Linked DNA regions of Arabidopsis thaliana. The protein of the gene in region 3 interacts with the protein of the main gene of each other region in a pairwise test. Each region holds a gene or a part of one and is shown on either strand. Other genes may lie near its edges. The genes, in order: ATO, AGL21, ATMAK3 and TCP4.

Region 1 (6,506 bases), on a different chromosome or scaffold from region 3:
CTAGTCATCGAATGAGGCCGTTGGACTGTAAATAAAAAAGGTAAAGCCCATCCCAACTTTTATTTCTTAATTAAAATTTTGGAATATGATTAAGAAAGGAATATTTCATTATTCTTTCCAAAATAGCAAAATGAGATTGTATGTTTAGGTTTTTTGAAAACAAATAAAATTTGAAAGTCTTCGTATATGGACATATATCTGACCAAAATCAAATATCTGTGTATTTTTCAAAAAAAAAAAATATCGTAAATAAATATAATAAAAAAAAATAAAGGTAAACTATGTGATAGCTTACTTTAAAAAATTTGACAGTCGTATGAGGTATTGAGGTTGTATCTGTTTATTTTGATAATTTTTATAAAGTTTGACTCAAATTTTAAGTTTTATCAAAAAAGGAACCAATGATTTGTTAGGAATTGGATAATTAAGGAAATTAAAACATTCCAATTTTGTAAGAATATCAAAGATCAAAAAATTAGTTCAAAATTTGTGAGTACACTATCATCTGAAAACTTTAGTGATTGATTCTTACATGTAGTATCCTATATTAACTCATATCTGTTTCTTGTTATTGAAGTAAAGTCCTCAACTATTCCTTACTAGCATTGTCCATACAAAAACAAATTTTATATCCTCGATTGTGATAGTCAATTCAAAAACATAAACTAAATACTGTTTTAATGAGACGAAACCTCACAAAAAGATGACGAATGGTTTGATTTTACAAAGGCGAAAGGTAGAATATGGTTTAAAGGGATATAGTAAGGAGAGAAGATTTCATCAAGAGGATGTGATCAATCAGATGAGACCTTGGCGTTGAAGATCAGAGTAAGTCTTCTTGTTGTAAATGTTACCTTCACGATCTTCATATTCTTCTTCAAGTTCTGGCCTCCATTTGTTCACTCCTTGCCTCTCCTGTATCCTCTTCCACAATTCTTTGGCTTCCTGAAACAAACCAAACAACAACAAGATCAAATTACCAAACTATTTACTACTTTAAGCTGTACAAAGTCTTTGATCATATTATATTATTACCTCAATCGAAGTGATTTCGTTGAAGTTCTTTGTGTTTGGGATTCCTAGGCAACGCATTCCGTGTTGGTGTCGCCATTCTTTAAAATGTCTCTCAAAAGCCCTTCTTCCCCAATAGCTATAGTTCCCACATATCTCGCATTTAAACTCCTGCGTAATAACAAGAAATTTAATGTGAATCTATGTTCCTTTGATACAACAATGGTCTCATAAATAAACTACATACCTGGCCAAGGCCATGAAGTTTGTAGAGCCAGTATGGTATAGGCTTCCCATCCCAACCTATTGGTAGCTTCAGCGGATTGTAAATCAAACCGTCCTCGTCATCACTTTCTAATTCGGTATTAGCTTCCTCCCCTTCACGTTCTCCCTCCATTTCTTCATATGTCAACGACTGTTTCTTTACAATGTTTTGTTTTGTCCTTTCGATGGTCTATAAAAGGTGACAACAAGAAAAGTTAACAGAAAAAGTACAACTAGATATCTGGGAGGGGGAAAAAAATGTCACTATGAGCTTTCAATCAACTAACCTCATCAAGTAAATTGCAGAGTTTCTTCACTTTGGCCTCTGTTAGTGCAATCTCTTTAGCATTTTCAGACTCATGTGTTGATTTGGCATCTCCGTTTTGTTTTCCGTTGTGTGGAGGTCTGGCAAAATGTTTCTTATCCAGCTTTTCCAAAGGCGTATGCTGTACAAAAATTGAATTAATTAAGGGAATTAGATAACCTCAAGGTAATAAGAAAAGCTTCAAATAGAATTCAATCCCTACAAAACATGAACTATGACAACAAAAGCCTTAGTTTCATATTAGAAGAAGAGCTGAGCTGAACTACCAAACTAGGTTTCATAACAGCTAAATGTTCCTTCCAAACCCAGTAAGAACAACAAGAACGCGGCTACTAATTGATAAAAGTACCCTCTCATAAGACGAAACTTAAAGAAATAGGAGATTATATAGCAAGTGTAAAAACCTTTGTCAGGAAAAGTCTCTCGGCACGCTGCTGCGGAGTACCACCAACCTTCAGTCCTAATGCCCCCAATGCCTGAATGGCATACAAAGAACATATGATTAGGGGAATATGCTTCAAAAAGGATATTAACATGAAGTAGTATGGTCATTACCTCTTTTAGCTTTTCAGGTCCTACATCTACCAGTTCCTCGACTGTACTGTAGTAATCAAGATCTATGACAGTATGCTGAGATGGAATAAGTTCATTATCCAGGCCTTCTACTATTCCATCTGCATATTGCTCTTCAAAATCAGAACAAACCTGTAAAAGAACCAAACATATTAATCGCAACAGATCAAACAATAGGCACAGCATTGGCCAAACTAGAACTACCAGAATGTCAAACTATAACATGGTTCAAAACCTTCCGAGGATATACAATCTCTGCACTTAGAGCAAACTATGCACCAATGAATATTGAATACAACCATCTAGTTATGGCCATTTATTTTCCAAAATTATGTATTATCTCCAGGGGGATGAAAGACTCACAAAGCAACCAGTTGTTAGAACTAAGGAAATCAAATCCAAAGTTCTACACTTAATACTTGGGAAACTAGTAGAAACTTCTTAAGCACGAATAAATATACCAGTTATGTACTAATGCATAGTTCGAAACGCCCATAAAATTTCATAAGGCAACAAGGTAAACGCAATAAAATGATAAAGAAAGGGAGGAGCTTAAACCTTAGAAAGTATCCGGTCAAGATCTTGCAACGGCTCGGTTCGCTGGAAGAAGTAGACCAGGTACTCAAGTAGAGCTTCCATATACTTCATGTATTGCCTAAAATGAAAAATAGCAATACAAAAAGGAAAGCCATTCAGCTGCAGCTAGAAAAATAATTGGAGGCTTTCTAAGTAAAAGAAAATTCCAATGAAGTGTTTACCTCGATAACTTCAGTTTACGCGGTATTTTCTCTGGTTGAGAAAAAACATCAAGGTAAGCAGAATATTCAACCCTTTCCCCAAATTTAGAGTTGATGTACTGGTTATACATATCATGCAAGTCCAAGTACCGACCATTGCCTTCCTGCGTAACAGACAAGAAGATTTAAGTATTGACAATAAAAAAGGGGCTTACAAACTGTTAAAAAATGCGTCAACAAATAGCAACAATAAAAAGTCAAGCAGAAACCTACCTCTCCACTGAACGCAATAATTGGTTCCTCCTTCAGGCGTGCTTCGTAGTCTTCATTAGCATCAACAAGACGTCCAGAAGGATGCCTTTTATGATATTCACGTATCTGTAAGTTTATAAAAGAAGTTAAATAGTTGCAGCTCTGATGCTTTCATCAGTGGTACAAGAAAATCAAATAATTCAGACAATAAAAAAAAAACGAATTAGCAATTTGAATCTTATTCAGGGTGTCCTCATGAAAATTTCACCGCCTTAATACTCTTATGCAAAGCAAGCCTTATACAGCTAACCAAATTGTTGATGGAACAGAACTAATACACTTTCACTGAGATTTTGTACATAATTCTTGATTCTCCATCACAGTGGTTCAAGGCAATCAATAAAACTATTTTTTTTTAAAAGATCAACAGCTAAATAACAATGTCTAGATTAACTAATAGTCCGGTAAAGTTAGCTGCTCAATCTCTAATATACAACCCACAGAAACTAAAGTAAAGCCAAGTCTTGGTATAGAGAACCATAGGCAAGTTTTAGGGAAAAAAGACCAAGGAAGGTGCAAAGGATAAAGAACAAACCTCTTTCAAACGATCGTAAAATTCACTAAACACATTTGTCCCTGTCGCAGTCTGGCCACCAAGCGCTGCAATCTCATCATCCCACGCCCCATCCTTATCTTCATAGGTTTCAACCTTACAACAAACAAGAATCAAGGTTAGCATTAATCCAAGTTTGAGTTAATTATCAACAACAAAAATTAACTCAAATTTGTGAAATAACACTGAAGCATGCTTAGCTCAAAACTTAGAATCCCTACATACACACTTAAGACCCCAACTATAACCTATATTCAACACCAATCTCTGAAGTTTCTTCTCAATTTAACACCCAAGCCAGAGTGATTCAAAGCTAACTTAAACCCCACAATGATAACCTAAAAAGCTAAAGCAATTAACAGAAAAAGAGGCAACACTCAACACGAACCTGTTATTTAAAAAAAAATCAGCAACCCAAGTTTCTCTGCTCTGATCTAACGTATTCAAAAGAGAAGAGACATAAAAACATATGCGGGAAATAGAAAAGAAGATTAAAAATTGACGAGAAGAAGAGAGAAAGCGTACAAGTTTCTCAGTGGTGAGCATAATAGACTCAATCATGTGACGAACACGATGTCCCTGGACCAATCTGTCCTTGCTGGACGGTGGCTCCTTCTGTAGATCTTCCACAACCAATCGCTCCAACCTTTCAACCTCTTCGTGATTGGAGCGAGTTTGCTCGAGGAGAGTCGACGACATTTTCTCTGTCTTCGAAGCTTTGAAATCTCCTTCTTCGCCGGAGTCTAAACCCTAAATTCCAGTCACTTTTCTTTTCCTCAATCCGAAATCTCGCCAGTAAAATTTTTAACGCCAATCCGAGAGAAAAAGATAATCGGGTGGTTTTTGTTGTGGTTTGGGTCGTTTAAGCCGAACTATGTTTTGGGCCTTTTTAGACGGTTTGTGTTTTAGGCCTTTTTTTGACTGTTAGTGTTTTGGGCCTTTTTAGACTCTTTTTTTTCTTTTATATTTTATTATTATTTTACTTATTATAAAAAAATCTATAATATGGTAAAATACCATTTGGTAATTATTTTCTTTTAAGATCTATTCCATTTGGTAATTTATATATTTTTTATCTGATTGCAATCCTCTTTTAATGGGAATACTCAAACATTATGTGTTTGTTTGATATTGTACTATACTTCAATGGGTTCATTTGCAAAGATGTTAACGGAGAGAAGGTTGTACAGAAAAAAAATGGGCAGTTTACAACCATCCACTATGAATGGCTTTGATATTGGTAGCAAACTAACACAAAATCAAGTCATCATTGTCAAAGTTAAAGAGTTAACAAGCCATTTATTCACTCTTTTCAAATTGAATTCATGATATCTCACATGATATAAGATTTGCAAGCTATCTCCTAATAGTATTGAGGTTTGTTGAGATGACATCTTTAATAGATCAATGGAAAGAGCTATATTTGGTTGTTTTCCTCAGGAAAGAGCTATATAGGATGATCATATATTCATATTGAACCAACGATGGGCATTTTGGGGTAAGTATTGCCACCTGACAACAAAATAATAGCCAATCCCATAGACTAATCTTATGACTTCTGATATTGATTTATGTTTGTAAAACCAAAGGAAGATCTCCGAGTGGACATACAAAATTGAAATGTCGTTAACAATTCATATTTGGTATTATTTTTTTTATCTATAAACAATTTTCCATTATTAGTCACTTCCATGTCCAAGCTCAAGAATTCTGTTTCAGGTGTTGTCTTTGAAAGATAGTCCATGCCAACATCGTTTACATATCAGTATATCACTTACTTTACGGCAAACTAAGGCAAACCATATTTCGATTAGTTCATGAGTCGCTAATTGTAACTTAAGGATATCAAGGTTGGAAGTAATTCACTTTGAAACATCACCATTTCGTATGAGTTGATCTTCTTAATAAAAAGATAATAAATACAGAGAAGCAAATGAGAGTTCATCGTAAACACAGCAAACCAAATCAAGAAAACAAAGCAAATATGGTTATTCATTTCAAATGGTGGAATCAGAATATCAATAAGCAAAAACTGGTACATGGTTTGATTCACGTTTGAGTTATATGTTCCTCATTTTCCACTATTCCATCAAACCAAAACAAACAATAAAAACTCAAACAAAACTTTTGAAAAGCGGCGAAGTCAGAGATGTTAAATATGCCTCAAACAGTTTTAAGCTCATAATGAGGAAATTACCCCTCATTCGCACATCTAATTGGTTCATCATTCTCGCCGTTTCATTGCAAAACCAATAAAAACAATGTATCCTACCCGATTATATAGAACGAGATACTAAATGAACGAAATTAAAATCTGAAAATCCTCAAACGCAAAGATCTCTAGCAGATAAAAGAGATAAACACTTATATCTGAAGAGTCAGCGAGAGAGGACCTTAATTCCAGATCTAATGCCGATATAAAAAAACTCGACCTATAATAAATCAGGAAGGTAAAAACTGGGTTAGTTCTTAGGAGAACCCTAATCAAAAACCCTTAATAAATTTCGATTTAGCGCAGCAATGACTCGACACGCTTCCATTAAGCATTTGTGGAAGGCGATCTTAAGGGCTGCGCAACGATTTAAAAAAAAAACGATAAATACGAATAACACGATTTAGAACATAAGCCCTAATATCTAAGAATTGGGGGTTATAATCGAAGATGCATTGTATATATAGTGAAGACTTGTTTTACCCTAGTCGAAGAAGCTTATCCTCGTTTATTGACTAT
Region 2 (6,173 bases), on a different chromosome or scaffold from region 3:
ACAATAGGTGTCTGTAATATAAATCTGCTACTTGAACAACAGATAGTCAGTAGTATGGGTGTATTATTTAAACTCTATAGTAAGCAATTTAATTTGGTAAAGAAATAGGTCATCTGTGAAACCTATTACTCTTTGGTAACTAGCTCTTATGGATTACAGATTCTATACATGTGTTAGATATTTGGTTTAGTCATTACAAAACATTTCTTAAGAAATAGGTCTTATATATATACACAGCAAAGATAAACACACACAATTACACAAAACAAATATTGTTAAAGGGGTTTTAAGAACCAAAATAAACAAAGATTGTGATAATTCTAGATTGTTTATGTTTTAGACTTGAAAAATATGGAAAACGTAGACAATAGGCTTGAAACGTAAAAGAAAGAGTGGTATAAACCCGTCGAACTAAAGATAATAATGATTATAATTGGTAAAATCGAAATGATTCGCTGATGATTGACACCTGGCGTGAATGAGACTGAATCTTTTATCTTAAGAGGACGATAATTGGGGATTTGGTCACTTGGAAGTTGGAAGCAACTTTAAGATTCTTTGTTAATAGAAAAAGAGCCAAATCTGAATTTGAGTTTGAGATTCGAGATGTGATTGGTTCGAAGCAGTCCAGCCCACGTGGTCTTAATAGATCTTTAATTATCATGTTATCTATCTGGGGCCCACCTAAATCTTATACATCAACGGTATAAAATCGAACTTGGTTATTAGGGTTTGAGCTTGGTTTAGTTCGGTTTAAAGGACATTTGCTACTTTTAAATCAAATTCAATTGATGGATACATTCGCGCTAGGGGTGGTGATTTATGGCAAGTTTGAGGGTTGGTCAAAGTTAAAGTTTAGACATTCAAAGAAACTAAAATAAACACACAAAAATAGTTAGTAATGAAGGATCAGGTGTACGGATTCTGCGGTGGAGCGTGCGAAGACTTCCATCAATTGGTGTTCTCAGGAGCTGTTCCTGCTTCTCCCACGTGTGCCTGTCACAAATGCATATTACATTTTAGATTGTATATTTGCAATATGCATAAGCTTGAAATATAAGTTACGGTTTATATATATATGGCCTTCTGAGTGAAAATATTCTATATATAAGTGAAAATTTTGTATAGCTCATTTCATTATGATATTGAACGCGAGTTGCTTTGAGTAGAAATCAAGCATTAAGCCATCGAAAGTAACAGACGTTATATAGTTATTTGATATTAAATTTCTTGCCATATTTGGAAACTTACGACAAAACAATTAATATGATGAATCTCCGCAACTCCAAGTCCCTGTCTGACACGTGTACTTGATATCGTTTAAAATCATTTATTAATTGACACAAAAATAATTTATTCATTTGTATTTCTACCGAAAGCCATATGGACTAATATATGTTGTACTAGATTAATACTGTATGTTTTTGTTCAATCCATTCTCTTACTTTTTTGGGTAAATATCTTTTGGACAGATCTAATTAATATAGTATAAGTTTTCCTATGACCATAATAAAGGGCCAGAATATTTTTAATTTTCTTTTAATCACCTCTAAAAGATACTAATTAAATTAAGTAAAGCAGCATATAAAGCAAGAGGGTTTTGTCAGAGAAACACAGTCCTGTGATGCGCCCATTCACTATTTTCACATGACATTTGAAATAAGACTTAAGAATAAATTATAAATAATGTACGGACATGTTAAAAAGGAAATATTATTGATAATGGAAATTTACCTAACTCACACTAAGTTTAATATTATTTCACTCCTTTTTATCTAAACAATTCCATTAAGTTTCCACTATCTCCCGTAATAAACAAACTATAAAAAAGAATCAGTGATTAAAGTTGTATATATGACACACATTTAAGCTATATCTATATATTCTCTTAACCTAGGAACTTTATAAGAACTTCTCTCTATTTCATTGGTTTGATAAAATCATACACACAAATACTAATTTTGGACTAGAAATTTAGTACTTTTCTATGTATTAAATCTACCCAAAAATGTCTCAAACTGAGAGGTGAGTGTGTATGTGTGTGTGTGCATATGCATATATATACTTAGTTTATTCCTCGAATAGATTGTTGACTCTTGGCTCAACCTTCCTCTCTCTCTATTTCTACCTTTCTCTTTCTCCTTATTCGTTCATCTTCATATTCCCTTCCCTTTTGGGCTTGGTAAGATCTACAAAAAAAAAAACCCTAAAAAAGAGAAGAACCAGAGGAGATTCAATTAGAGGATAAAATTGATGGGAAGAGGGAAGATTGTGATCCAAAGGATCGATGATTCAACGAGTAGACAAGTCACTTTCTCCAAACGAAGAAAGGGCCTTATCAAGAAAGCCAAAGAGCTAGCTATTCTCTGTGATGCCGAGGTCGGTCTCATCATCTTCTCTAGCACCGGAAAGCTCTATGACTTTGCAAGCTCCAGGTTCTTCTTTTAAAATTATTCATTCTGAAATCTTTATATCTTCTTGATTTTGTGGATGTACATCTACGGAGATGTTGTGTACCACTGTATGCATATAATTTTATGCTACGGTTTTGTTTATTAGAAGGCTTGGTGATATTCACTGAGATATATGTAGCTGTGGGATCTATTCAAATATAGTGGAATTTTTTCGCATCTGGCGGTCCGTAGAACATGTTACATTAATTTTCCCGTATGTACAATAAGATGTGTCTTGTATAGCCGACAAACAGTTTTCTTACAACAAAGAAAGATTAAAAATGAGGTAGAAGTTTTAAAGAAGAGTAATATTTTTGAAGCTGAAAAAATAATTTGAAGTAGTTTCTTTGCTTCATATTTGGGTGATTATATGTACCCATCATCAGTATGTTTTGAAGTACTTTCCTAACATATGTTTATGTGTATGGACATTGACTTATAACTAACTAAGGCTCATTGTTTGCATTTTCCAAATTTAGATATGTTTCAGAAATAGATGAGAAAACAAGTGTGAATGCCCAAACATCACTATTGGAAAGCTAAAAAAGAATTATAATTGGAGACCACGAGTTAGAAGATTGGTATGTAGAGGACTTAATTTCTCAAATCCAATAAACTGGAAGCTGATTTAGTTTAACCCACTAACAAAATGATCTATTTATACTCGTAAACATAAACATGTTTTTGATATTTATATATAATCATATATATTATTACTAAACGATCAGATTACTCTGTATATTTAACTTTATATCTGCAAAATCGTTATAATTGTCTATTTTCTGAGTAAGTTATTCTTTGTTAAAAGTTTGATTAATATAAAAAAAATATAGAGATAAAAAACTAATTATTAGAAAACATATATAAACATGTAATTCTAAATCATATAATATTTTGATTATATATTTTGAAAATTTATATAATTTCATATTTATCAATTAAAACAACCAAATAAAAGAGTATGGTAATGCGAATTTTTGTTTTTCCCTATTTTCCTTGAGGAATTTTATATTAGCATCAACCTTAAGCATTATTAATTCTTCACGTTTGTCTTTTGATAACATTTCTCATGTATCATAGGGTTTACGAACCTCTTGGTAAATGAAATTACTTAGCATATTTAGTCAAGTTTATATACCATTCTTAAAACTAACTAACACCATGTTATTGTTTGCTTGGATTTAAAATAAAGTGTGCCATGCTAATGCATTACATTTATGTCATTTTGTTTATAGCTTAGAACTGGATTCCTTTAAAGTTCTTGCTTATCTACACCCTAGAAATAACATTTAAGCATTTGTTTTTGTTACTTATTGAAAAAAGAAACTAACATCTACTTACTTTATATATAGTTTATCTAGTTTGTGTAACAAATTCGTATTACTGCTGAGTTCAAGATTATATACATTATGTGAAATGTATGTATGTGTACATATATAAGCGTGTGTAAATAATGTTGCCAATGCAGGAAAGTCTATATTGCACAAATTTCTAGGCTATGAGTTTTTTCTTTACGTATGAAAGCTTTTTAATGGAGTACTTGGAAAAACTTCACGATCGAAAATTAATATCTTTTACGTAATTTACTCTAAGAGATGATATGATATGAGTGAATTATATACCATGAACAAGGTATACTAATATTAAATATTTTGAATAGCATGAAGTCGGTTATTGATAGATACAACAAGAGCAAGATCGAGCAACAACAACTATTGAACCCCGCATCAGAAGTCAAGGTATACATATAGATATAGCGACAACTCTAAAGATATGTGATTATATATTGATTGATGCTTTAGCATGATGTTTGATTTTTGAAATGAGATTTTGGTTTACTGAGCTGTTCAAAGTTTGATGAGTTATTTGTGTTGTGTGTTACAGTTTTGGCAGAGAGAAGCTGCTGTTCTAAGACAAGAACTGCATGCTTTGCAAGAAAATCATCGGTATCGCCTTGAACTTTTATAACATTTTGTATTAAGAATTAGTCTTTGATCAAAATATAGAAGGCATGTAAAGGAAATGAAGAAACTTGTAGTTATGGATTGCGGTATGTTTGCTATGAAGCAGGCAAATGATGGGAGAACAGCTAAATGGTTTAAGTGTTAACGAGCTAAACAGTCTTGAGAATCAAATTGAGATAAGTTTGCGTGGAATTCGTATGAGAAAGGTACATAAATACATATACTCTACCTTCTATTATATGCTTTGGAGTGTATTACTCAAAAGATTGACTATAGAACACAACGGAAATCAATAGAACGATTGCTTTTCCGGATTCACAGGAACAACTGTTGACTCAAGAAATCCAAGAACTAAGCCAAAAGGTCACTATGATGAGATATATATATACACACACTGACACACACAAATATCCCCTACCAAAAGTTACAATTCTAATTTTGGGATTTTTGTTGATCGTGGTGCAGAGGAATCTTATTCATCAGGAAAACCTCGATTTATCTAGGAAAGTACAACGGATTCATCAAGAAAATGTGGAGCTCTACAAGAAGGTAACAAATCATGTTTTACAAAAACTCCATTTTCTTTGGAGTAAGAGCTTCGAAGTGATATGGCTTCGACTTTCAGGCTTATATGGCAAACACAAACGGGTTTACACACCGTGAAGTAGCTGTTGCGGATGATGAATCACACACTCAGATTCGGCTGCAACTAAGCCAGCCTGAACATTCCGATTATGACACTCCACCAAGAGCAAACGAATAACAGAGAGGTAAACTTTTTTAATTGATCTTGATGTTTCACAAACATGCATGCACCATTTAGGCATTTTATATATTTTATGTAACTCGTTAAAAACTTTCACAGATTGAAGTTGGAAGATACCATGATGTTGAAGAACACTCCAAAGGCCTTGGTTTGAATAAGGTTCTTGAACTGGAAACCTCTATACACCAAGCCACGTACGATAAGCAGCATGGTTCTTCTAACATAGTCATATTTTCAATCCTAAATATAATTAAAGCATATATAATTAAAATCCGGTGTTGTTATACTCATCTTGAGTATTAATATTGTACTTGTTTATAACCATAGATTCGTCAATTAATAGAGAAAAATCATATGAATTATTATCCTCAAAACTCTCTCAAATATCAATATTCTTAGATCAATAATTTGTTTAATATATATAACCATGCACTTGGTAATTCTAAAATGTTAAATAAACATTTTCTGTTAAGTTTTTTGTTTTGTTGGTTTTATTTTGTAAATTCACCATAATTCTGTTAATCTTATTCCCCCAAACTAACCGGTTTGGAAACTATATAAATTAAATTGATGTGTGATAACTGAATCGGTTATCGTTGACTGCACTGACCAGAAACCAATAAAGGTTCTGTCTTAAAGGGAAACAAATCATCGTCGTCACCAAATCATCACAATTCACAAAGGTTGGTGTAGACAGGGACCTGAGAGATAACGACAAAGAAACAACAAATATAAAATAAAAATCAGAAGAAAATATAAATAAAAAAAGAGGGAAAAAATTCGAAAATTTGCTGCAACCACCAAAAGCTCAGCCAAAAGCAGAGGCCACAATTCTCTCAAACAAGATAAACCCAATTTTGTTATTTTTGTTCTCTCTTCTCTCTCGTTCATGTTTCAAATCTGTTTCTAGGGTTTCACAAACCAGAGATAGAGAGAGGTTTAGCGAAAAATGGCGATGGCCATGGCTCTTCGAAGGCTTTCTTCTTCAAT
Region 3 (4,791 bases):
GTTTGGTTAGTGACCCTTGGTAACGAGTGGGTTCAAATTGTCAATAAACTATTATGTGGCGAGTGGTGAATCGTCTTTAATTTGTTCTGATTTAGGCCATGTGAGTTTTGCAACTACATTTGAGGCTTTTCTTCTTCTTTATATTAGACTTTTTTTTTTTTGTAAAGTGGACTATCTGGATACAAAAAAAATCTCGGCTAACATGGATAAATCTAAGATGGTTGTGTTTGTGAAAAGAAAATTGTTTTATAGTAAAATACGGTATGCAATAAAAGTATTTCATAAAATATCTCATACCAATTATTCAAGCATGTCTTTTCATAACATTTGACTGGCATCTTTCTCTCCTTTGGCCTTAAATCAATTTTTTGTCATCTTGGATTTCTTTTGAGGTATATAGAGCTGTTTGAAAATTTTGATGGCTGAAAATCACTTCACATCTCGATTTCTATATCATCCACTTAACTCGAAGTCAGGAGTAGCCTGAGACGATTAGGTTAAGTTAAGTGGTTATATGAATTTGTAACAACATTTAGATCTTTGTTTCCAATCATCAACCAAGTTTGAGAGACCTTAAAAACGTATATACGCACACCACAAAGTGATATGAATATGCTAAATTGTTTCTGTAGACACACAAGACCGTTGAAACGTCCAGATTAATCGCTTACTCCAGTCGAGAATACTTCATAAACATGGGACTAGAATTGTACCAACACATAATATTTCTTCATACGAAAGAGAACATAGTCTTAGCATGTTCAGGATTTAGAATACATTGAAGAAACACACATCTTCGTTCATGGCCTTAAGGTACACGAGGCCTAGGAAAGGTCTCATACTCTTGTTGGGTTTGAACTTGAGAAGGTATTTGAGGTACACGAGGCTTAGGGAACAAGAGCTTCAGGCGAAAAGCATCCATCCCATTCAAGTAATAGTGGTATAGCCGTTTGGCTCTTATAAACCCGAGTCGCCCATATAGTGCTAATGCTCCTTTGTTACTCACTTCTGCCTCCAGAGTTACCTTCAGCCATACATCTTTACATTAATTAGATTGCATAACCAGACAACCATACTCTCATGTTGTAATCAGGCTTGATTATGAGGAACTTGAAGAGCAAATGCCAATCACGAGGTTCTTTTTCCAATCTATTTACTACTGAGATTACAGTTAAGAGATCACACATACAACAGAAAATGATTCGTCGAATACGCAATTAGTAAGTGGGAGACAGGGATTTCTTATTTTATATTACTATCAGTTACATTCCAATGCGTGTGACTATAAAGAGTCATGGACTACATACAAGACTTATACAACATATGTATACTAAGTGAGAGACTGGGATTTTGATTTCCACTACAAAATTAGTAACTAAACGAATATCGAAAAGTTCCAACTCTTAGGAGTATGATTAACTACTTTTATACGTGGAACTAAACTTACACACACAGTTAGCTAAACAATCAAAAGCAATAGGTATACTTGCAATGATTAAAGGCAGCTACATCACCTCAGCTATGAAATTCTATTCTAGTAGATAAAAAGGAGGCACTATTTCAGGACATGTAATGGACTTATAACCTTCCGGAAAAGGTGGTTCATAAGGTCTTATCTACATTTATACTACCAGGAAAGGATATCACTCTAGTGCTACCAAATATCTAAGTTCTCCAAAGTGGGAATAAAGAGAGAAGTGAGAATGCAAGAACAGCATACCTCTTCACAGCCTGATTCCATCATCGCTTTTATCGCTCTTGTGACAAGCTCTGAGGCTGTAAAAAAACAATGACAAGTCAGCACACAAAATTATCGAACCTTAAGAGAGGCATGTATTTGCAGTAGATCAAACACTACTCCCACAGTCAAAATCTGATTCTGTAAGAAGTTAGGAAGCACTAGCTCAAGTATTACCTATGCCTCGGCCACGATATGGTTTAATCACAACCAACATAGCGATGTACCCTCTGAAAGTCTGTCGATGATCCCCCATCTTACAGACTATGGTTCCTACGCATTTACCTTTGTGAAAGGCCTATTAAAAGAAACAAAACAAATGCTACTCATAAATCCATCAAAACATAAGTATCATGAGGGTAAAGCAACGATAATCGAAAGCTGAGTGTCAAAATACCAGGAAGCATAGCTGCGGCCAGAGGTAGACGAAGTACCGGTAAGTAAAGATGGAGTAAGGTTCACTAAGTTCTTGGTCAACAAGAGACATAATCAATGGCAGATGATGCTCACCAGCATAACTCGTGTACTCAATCTCACCCTCATCGAATTCTTCTTTATCTTCCATCTCTTTCTCCATTGCAAGAAGTGATCAAGATCCCGAATTGTATACTTACAAAGAGAAATATGAACTTCTGATCAGTTGTTTATACATTGATGATCTTGTTCCTATAGGAAGTGATGAAACACATAATGCAAAGTTAGAGAATATAAATCATTTTCTGTGAATCGAAGTTGAGTGATTGTTTCAGAATTGAAAGTTCAATGTTTTCATAACAAACTCAGATTGCTCAAAGCCTCAAATAAACAGCTGAAGCAGAATCTATAACACTCTACTAAAGCAAACGACTTTGGCTAAAGCGAGCTATAGAAGATTTGAGAGTTCAGAAAAAAGAGAGCTTACCGATGTTATGTGACAATAGGATTAGTAAAGAATCCTGTGAAGCATAAGAATGAAAAAAACACACACAGATTTTAAATACCAAGTAATGAGAGATTTAGAAAGAGATGTGATTATAAAAATTGAAACTTTTTAGAAACCCAAGATCAATGAGATGATAAGAATACTTACCAAAAGTTTGAGCTTTGTGAAATTCGAAGATCAAAAGTTACGATCTGGGTGATATCTGAAGAAAAAAGCTCCGAAGAGAAGACGAAGAAGAACAAGAACAAGAACAAGAACAAGAACAAGGTCGATTACACACGTGACAAGCATGTGTAGGGTTTAGATATATTTGGGCTTTAAAATAAGCCCAATTGAAATTAAAGCCCAAATATGAAAAGATAATTAAAAGCCTATCCTAAAATCGTTTTTCTACTCTCACTGCCTTATCTTCTTCTGGATCTTCTTCTTCGAACAAATTCGAAAACAGCACACGGCGATGGCGTCGCTTATACTCGGAGCTCCTCCGCGAGTCACCGTCGCATTACCTTCCTCACGGTTATCATCTTCTCACTCTGAAACTGCCGGTGTCTCTCTCTCTTGCTTCACTCATCAATTCTCTCTCTCCACTTCCTCATCCAGCTCAATTCCACTCGGTAATCTCCCTCTCTTATCTAACTCTCTCTTAATTCGTCAATGGCGTAACTTTTCCGGTGTTCGCAGTGTACTGTGGCAGAGGTGACCGGAAAACAGCTAAAGGAAAGCGTTTCAATCACTCTTTTGGGAATGTAAGTAATCAAATTTCTCTTTCCGATTTCGTAATTTTACTTTGCAAATTCGCAATTTTGGTTTTGAATTTGGGGTTTATGTAAGCAGGCGAGGCCAAGAAACAAGAGCAAAGGAAGAGGACCGGAGAGAGTACCGGTTCCTCCAGCACCACCGAGGAAAGATAAGTTTGAGAACGACGAGAAGATCAAAATCGATATCGACGAGTCTCTCTTCTCTAATTAGAAATATGAGATTCTTCACTTGTTGTCTCTCACTGTAATTTTAATTTGTTTTTTGAAAAGCTTTGATGCTACGACTCTTTTGTTGTTAAAAACATCTCCAAAGTTCTCATCTTTTTATGAAAAGTTTGCTTCTTTATGAATCATTGAGTCTTTTACATTGAAAAAGTAAAGCAAACTAAGAACGAGAATCTATATACTTAGATAGATCAGATGGATGAATCATCTGTCTCTGTTTGGATCTTTAAATGTGAGAGTTTGTGATGTTTCCGCAGACTGTGCAGTGAGTGGAGACGAGAGTGTGCATTACACTTCCTTCTTCAATCTTAATCTTCCTTGTGACTTTGTTCCACAGATGTATCATGTAACTCCCTTTGTTCATGTCCTGTACTGTCTTCTCTACCCATTTTGCTTCTCTTGTGGTTGCAGGTTTCTTGAAAAGCTTTTGGATTTTGATCCAGTTTACTGGATAGAAAGCATCGGGAGAAAAGATTGTGAGATTGTTGTATCCAGGTTTGTTTCCTAATCTCTTGATAACTCTAGAGACTAGGTAAGGGCTGTTGTATCCCCATTTGTTTCCGTCGAAAGTTGTGGCATACTCTTGCAAGAATTCTCGCATTAGCGGATGGTAGATGTCAAAGACCATCACTGCGTTGTTTAGTCTCGTCCATCTCTTGGTTGCTGGATCACTACTCTGTGCTCCAATAGCGTTTCTTAGTCCTGTCATGTCGTTGAGGAAGATGATGTCTGTGTCTAGATAGACTCCTCCGTATTTGTAGAGTACTGCGAGTCTTGTTAGATCAGAGAGATTCATGAACAAGGGGATAGAACCGGGATCCATGTTGCCACTCTTTAGCCTTTTCAGCCAAGCTTCAGCAGGAGTGTTCTTGACGAGAAACGGGATATCTATAGTTACAGCAATGAGGTTGAAACCTTGATCAAACAATGGTTTAAGGATAGTGTATCCGTTTGGGGAGTCTAAGGAGTTGGACAAAATCGCCAAGCAAGCACCAGGATTGGTGGTGAAGAGAGTATCAATAGCTAACATCTCTCTTGGTCCAAAAGAATTTGCAGGAGAAAGCCAAATCATAAAGAACTGAGCAGAGCAATTCTTGTTGTACAAGTCCAAAACTCTTGTATGGAAACTCTTGCTCTTGGTAGTCGAT
Region 4 (4,906 bases), on a different chromosome or scaffold from region 3:
CCTACTTGGCCATATTGTCAACTACTTTGATGATCACAATATCATTTTGATGAGGCGTATATATATACATTTAATTAATATTGATGTCAAAAACTAAAACTGACGTTAATAATCAATGACATTATTGTGCTTAATTATTGCATTTCATACAAATTTCCCCATAATTAAGAATTTAAATCTCTCGTAATCATTCTATTTTGTTGTGTTGCAAATCGTGACCGTAATTCCAAGTGGAAGCTACTTTTGATTTACATTTAATTAATATGCAACCGTGGGATGACATATATTCTCCTTTTCTCTACTAAACAACCTATTTCATGTTTAAATATTATATTTTGTTTTGTTTGATTAATTATTTTATTGTGTTCGTATTAGGTTTGTTAATTGACCCTTTTCTATCATGCTAATATGTCACTTTCTGATTTATTATTACATTAAAGTAGGTGGTCTAATAGTAATTATTTATATGAATAGTTTTAAACTATCAAATAATGCTGTATACTATATATATTTTTCCAACTAAAAAATTATATAGTTATGATCCTTTGCGTCAAGTTTTTATTATTGCTTTGAAGAAAAAACATATTCAACTACTTGAAAATTACGTTAGCTTACCGTACGTGTGTTCAAATTTAATATGCTACAAAATTGTGTGAACAATATAATAGGTTTGTTGTATTTATTCGTTTTTCACCAATCTGGAGATATTTTGTGGTACAAGTATTATAACCACAATATATTCCATACATGAATTAGTTGTGAGAGTTATAGTCAAATTGGTTGGGATTCAAGAAGCATTATACTATTATTATAGAGTCCCACCAATTATTTTTGAACTCGTAAAATTCTCAAGATCTTAGAAATGTCTCCGTTGAAGCTTAGATTGTCTTTTACTCACCTTTATTAGTTTATTTATACGTCGTATTCTTCAATTTCAAAATACCTTTCATATATGAATTTGGGTGATATGCACACGAACACGATACGGTGAAATCAATTAGTTCCACAAGTCAAAATAGCTAGAAAAGAAGTATTGGATTTTAGAACAAAGAATAACGAGAGTCTTATTGTGTTTGTTACTAGTTTATAGAATCTAAAACAGGATTGCAAAAAACAAAAACATCAAAAACGAAGATGAGAGATGAAAAAAGAAAATCTTAGATTATAAAGAGCCCTAATTGTATTGCTAACTAATATTATATTCTTCTTTTAACGAGTTCGATTTTTCGAATAAAATCTACTTTAGTTAACTATTGAGATTCTTACAACAAAAAGGTAAAAAGAAGTGGAGCATCAACAAGCTTTATGTATTTGCATTGAACTAGCATGGGTCAACCCTTAAAAGAAACCGAGAAGCACAAAAGGTTGAATTGAACCTTGACCCATCTAACACCATAGGTTTTTAGGGTATTTATTCATTTATTGAATTCGGAAACTCGAAAAATAAAGTAGCTAGTTCATTCCAGTGATTTCAACTTTTTAAGTATATAATCCCCATGATTATGTATGTATGTGGACATGTCCACGAAAAGAGTGCCCATTTTCATATCAAGGAAGTTAGTAACTCTGACCAAAAGTAGATGTTTTAACACATCTTAGTATTTTTATATCACACTAAATTAAAGTAGTCTGTTTAATGTATTCTCTTAGAAAATAACATAATGATTTGCATGCACATAACAAATCCTATACTATTATTTTGGTAAACAAATTTGGTTTTGGAAACATCTAACTCTAAAAACCATCATTATTATTATTATTATTTTTTTTCTAATATTTTGGCATCCTACAATTTAGTTTATGATTGTGTTGATTATTATTTGGTTGTATTTGCATCTACACATTAAGTTAAACATTGATTTTAAAAATTAACATGAACAAAATGAATACTTACTGTTAAAACCTTATAACAATCAGATTTTTTTTTTAAACAAAGAATGGAAAAAAATGAATAAATTTGGGAAACGAGGAAGCTTTGGTTACCCAAAAAAGAAAGAAAGAAAAAATAAAAGTATTGAATGTGGAGATGAGAGGAAAAAAACACTTACTGTCATCTTACCCAGTTGCGTCATCATCAAACCCACAACACTCTCTTCCTCTTCCCTCTTCCTTCTGCTTATTTTACTTTTTCTCTTTAACCATTTTCCCGAGAGAGAAAAATAAAAAGAAAAGCTTTCTCTGGGTTTTTCTTGATTGGTCAATTACACATCTCCCTTTCTCTCTTCTCTCTCTCACCTTCGCTTGCTTTGCTTGCTTCATCTCTTTGGTCTCCTTCTTGCGTTTTCTATTTACTACACAGACCAAACAATAGAGAGAGACTTTAAGCTATAGAAAAAAAGAGAGAGATTCTCTCAAATATGGGTTAGTCCACAATTTTCACTAAACCTCTTCTTCTTAGGATTGTTTTTAGGGTTAGGGTTTTGAGGTGAGGAGAGCAAGTATGCGGGAGTTTCATCCTTTTTGAGTTACTCTGGATTCCTCACCCTCTAACGACGACCACCGTCGCCGCCGCCGCCGCCGTCTCGACGAATATGCTCTACCAATGTCTGACGACCAATTCCATCACCCGCCGCCTCCTTCTTCAATGAGGCACCGTTCTACGTCGGATGCGGCGGACGGCGGCTGCGGCGAGATTGTTGAGGTGCAAGGTGGTCACATTGTTCGGTCTACCGGAAGAAAAGACCGCCACAGCAAAGTCTGCACGGCTAAAGGGCCACGTGACCGGCGCGTGAGACTCTCTGCTCACACGGCGATTCAGTTTTACGATGTTCAAGACAGGCTTGGTTTCGACCGACCTAGCAAAGCCGTTGATTGGCTTATCAAAAAGGCTAAGACTTCCATTGACGAGCTCGCTGAGCTTCCTCCCTGGAATCCCGCCGATGCAATTCGCCTAGCCGCTGCTAACGCTAAACCCAGAAGAACCACCGCCAAAACCCAAATCTCTCCGTCTCCGCCACCGCCGCAACAGCAACAACAACAACAACAGCTTCAGTTCGGTGTTGGCTTCAACGGAGGAGGAGCAGAGCATCCGAGTAACAACGAGTCGAGTTTTCTCCCGCCGTCAATGGATTCAGATTCGATAGCTGACACTATAAAGTCGTTTTTTCCGGTGATTGGCTCTTCAACGGAGGCTCCTTCGAATCATAACCTTATGCACAACTATCATCATCAGCATCCGCCGGATTTGCTTTCTCGAACTAATAGCCAAAACCAAGATCTCCGTCTCTCGCTGCAATCGTTCCCGGATGGTCCACCGTCGCTTCTGCACCACCAACATCACCACCACACCTCTGCTTCCGCCTCCGAGCCTACTCTGTTCTACGGACAGAGCAATCCGTTAGGGTTTGACACATCGAGTTGGGAGCAGCAGTCGTCGGAATTCGGAAGGATTCAGAGACTAGTGGCTTGGAACAGCGGCGGTGGCGGCGGAGCAACCGATACAGGAAACGGAGGAGGGTTTCTGTTCGCTCCTCCTACTCCTTCAACGACGTCGTTTCAGCCAGTTCTTGGCCAAAGCCAACAGCTTTATTCTCAGAGGGGTCCCCTTCAGTCCAGTTACAGTCCCATGATCCGTGCTTGGTTTGATCCTCACCATCATCACCAATCCATCTCCACCGACGATCTCAACCACCACCATCACCTTCCTCCACCGGTTCACCAATCAGCAATCCCCGGAATCGGATTCGCCTCAGGTGAATTCTCTTCGGGTTTTCGCATACCAGCACGGTTTCAGGGCCAAGAAGAGGAGCAGCACGACGGTCTCACTCACAAGCCGTCCTCTGCTTCCTCTATTTCTCGCCATTGACAATCGAAACTAATCCTCTAAGTTTCAGGTTTATCTCAAGTTCTGTCCTTTTACATCAAATTCACTACTTTTGTACTTCTTTGGTCATTGAACTTTAAACCATTTTGCAGGGCTTGTCTAGCTTCCATGCACATTGAAGCTTGACTTAGATTGTCCGGAACAGGGAAGGTGTTCTCGGTTTGTGTAGTCAATGGCCTGAATCTAGAAAACGCAAGGAAATGAAGAAAGAACAACAGTTTCAGGTTCTTCTTCTTCTTCTTCCAATATCTTAACCTTGCCGATTGTAATTTTTCATATTTTCACCAGTTAGACCAACGTTCTTCTGTAGCTCAATTATGGTTAGATTCCAAGGTTTCGTCTTGTTGTGTTATGTTTGTAACTTTGTATCATCATCATCCTATTGTTACTGCTCCCTGTTCTTATTGTGTAACTCCGTGGATGTTCTAATAAAGTCTGAAACTTTCTCTTTGGGTTTTACTTTTACTGCTCTGTTCAGGCTAGATCCTTGTTATTTAAACAACATGAGATTCCTATTTCTCACGTAATCTTTTGGTCCCAAGAGATATAAGTTGGTCATTTTCCATGAACAGTAAGTTTTGAATTGTTTCTTCTTCTGGAACATCAGGGGGATTTAGCCAGTTCCCTTAAATTACAAGTGAAACTTAGCTCACTAAGAGTAAAAATATGATTATTGTTTTCTATGTCTGATGTCAATAATTGTTCTCTCTCACCTACTTTAGTGGTAGGAGGAGATCCACCAAACTTGAATGTGATGTTGTCTTTGATGAGTAAAAGAATGGGGACATGAGATAGGTAAAGAGAGCCACCCATGTTGGTCTAAATGAAGGAAGTTGATCAAAACTAGTCTATCTTCTCTATCATCATCATCTTTTGATAATAATATTGGATTTTTGCAAAGTTTAGTCAAAAACACTTGGGGTCTAAATGCATGTGTATTATAAGAATATTTAACTTTACCTTTTAATAGAAAAGCAGCAACACCTTTTCATGTGATGTAATCAAAACACACCAGATGGATGAGTTGAGATATCATAAAGTACGTTTACATCAAAAGATAGAAAAGAAGAATCTTCAATTTAA

Evidence for each region.
Region 1: the proteins of ATMAK3 (region 3) and ATO interact in binary tests that used the Arabidopsis thaliana proteins (3 or more experiments, as listed by UniProt).
Region 2: the proteins of ATMAK3 (region 3) and AGL21 interact in binary tests that used the Arabidopsis thaliana proteins (3 or more experiments, as listed by UniProt).
Region 4: the proteins of ATMAK3 (region 3) and TCP4 interact in binary tests that used the Arabidopsis thaliana proteins (3 or more experiments, as listed by UniProt).

Annotation. Positions count from the first base shown.
Region 1 is NC_003076.8:1,861,825-1,868,330, forward strand, and holds ATO (splicing factor-like protein), read right to left. Parts: upstream 4,610-6,506; 5' UTR 4,475-4,609; coding exon 4,301-4,474; intron 3,872-4,300; coding exon 3,758-3,871; intron 3,289-3,757; coding exon 3,184-3,288; intron 3,075-3,183; coding exon 2,932-3,074; intron 2,829-2,931; coding exon 2,732-2,828; intron 2,306-2,731; coding exon 2,156-2,305; intron 2,077-2,155; coding exon 2,005-2,076; intron 1,722-2,004; coding exon 1,563-1,721; intron 1,466-1,562; coding exon 1,259-1,465; intron 1,183-1,258; coding exon 1,036-1,182; intron 946-1,035; coding exon 799-945; 3' UTR 501-798; downstream 1-500. UniProt on the Arabidopsis thaliana protein: Splicing factor homolog to SF3a60 that may be involved in pre-spliceosome formation. Is necessary for gametic cell fate determination.
Region 2 is NC_003075.7:17,834,702-17,840,874, reverse strand, and holds AGL21 (AGAMOUS-like 21), read left to right. Parts: upstream 1-1,905; 5' UTR 1,906-2,253; coding exon 2,254-2,435; intron 2,436-3,290; exon of another isoform or gene 3,291-4,113; coding exon 4,114-4,192; intron 4,193-4,337; coding exon 4,338-4,399; intron 4,400-4,523; coding exon 4,524-4,623; intron 4,624-4,713; coding exon of another isoform or gene 4,714-4,738; coding exon 4,739-4,780; intron 4,781-4,882; coding exon 4,883-4,966; intron 4,967-5,042; coding exon 5,043-5,180; 3' UTR 5,181-5,187; intron 5,188-5,282; 3' UTR 5,283-5,658; downstream 5,659-6,173. Other genes in the region: SHM1 (serine transhydroxymethyltransferase 1), read left to right, coding at 6,133-6,173. UniProt on the Arabidopsis thaliana protein: Probable transcription factor.
Region 3 is NC_003071.7:15,977,831-15,982,621, forward strand, and holds ATMAK3 (Acyl-CoA N-acyltransferases (NAT) superfamily protein), read right to left. Parts: upstream 2,934-4,791; 5' UTR 2,808-2,933; intron 2,674-2,807; 5' UTR 2,640-2,673; intron 2,405-2,639; exon of another isoform or gene 2,348-2,404; 5' UTR 2,316-2,347; coding exon 2,136-2,315; intron 2,037-2,135; coding exon 1,916-2,036; intron 1,777-1,915; coding exon 1,721-1,776; intron 1,025-1,720; coding exon 809-1,024; 3' UTR 547-808; downstream 1-546. Other genes in the region: PSRP4 (plastid-specific ribosomal protein 4), read left to right, coding at 3,118-3,274, 3,342-3,406, 3,495-3,629; AT2G38150 (alpha 1,4-glycosyltransferase family protein), read right to left, coding at 3,870-4,791. UniProt on the Arabidopsis thaliana protein: Probably required for N-acetylation of some chloroplast precursor proteins and efficient accumulation of thylakoid multiprotein complexes.
Region 4 is NC_003074.8:5,059,766-5,064,671, forward strand, and holds TCP4 (TCP family transcription factor 4), read left to right. Parts: upstream 1-1,915; 5' UTR 1,916-2,542; coding exon 2,543-3,805; 3' UTR 3,806-3,833; intron 3,834-3,915; 3' UTR 3,916-4,387; downstream 4,388-4,906. UniProt on the Arabidopsis thaliana protein: Transcription factor playing a pivotal role in the control of morphogenesis of shoot organs by negatively regulating the expression of boundary-specific genes such as CUC genes, probably through the induction of miRNA (e.g. miR164).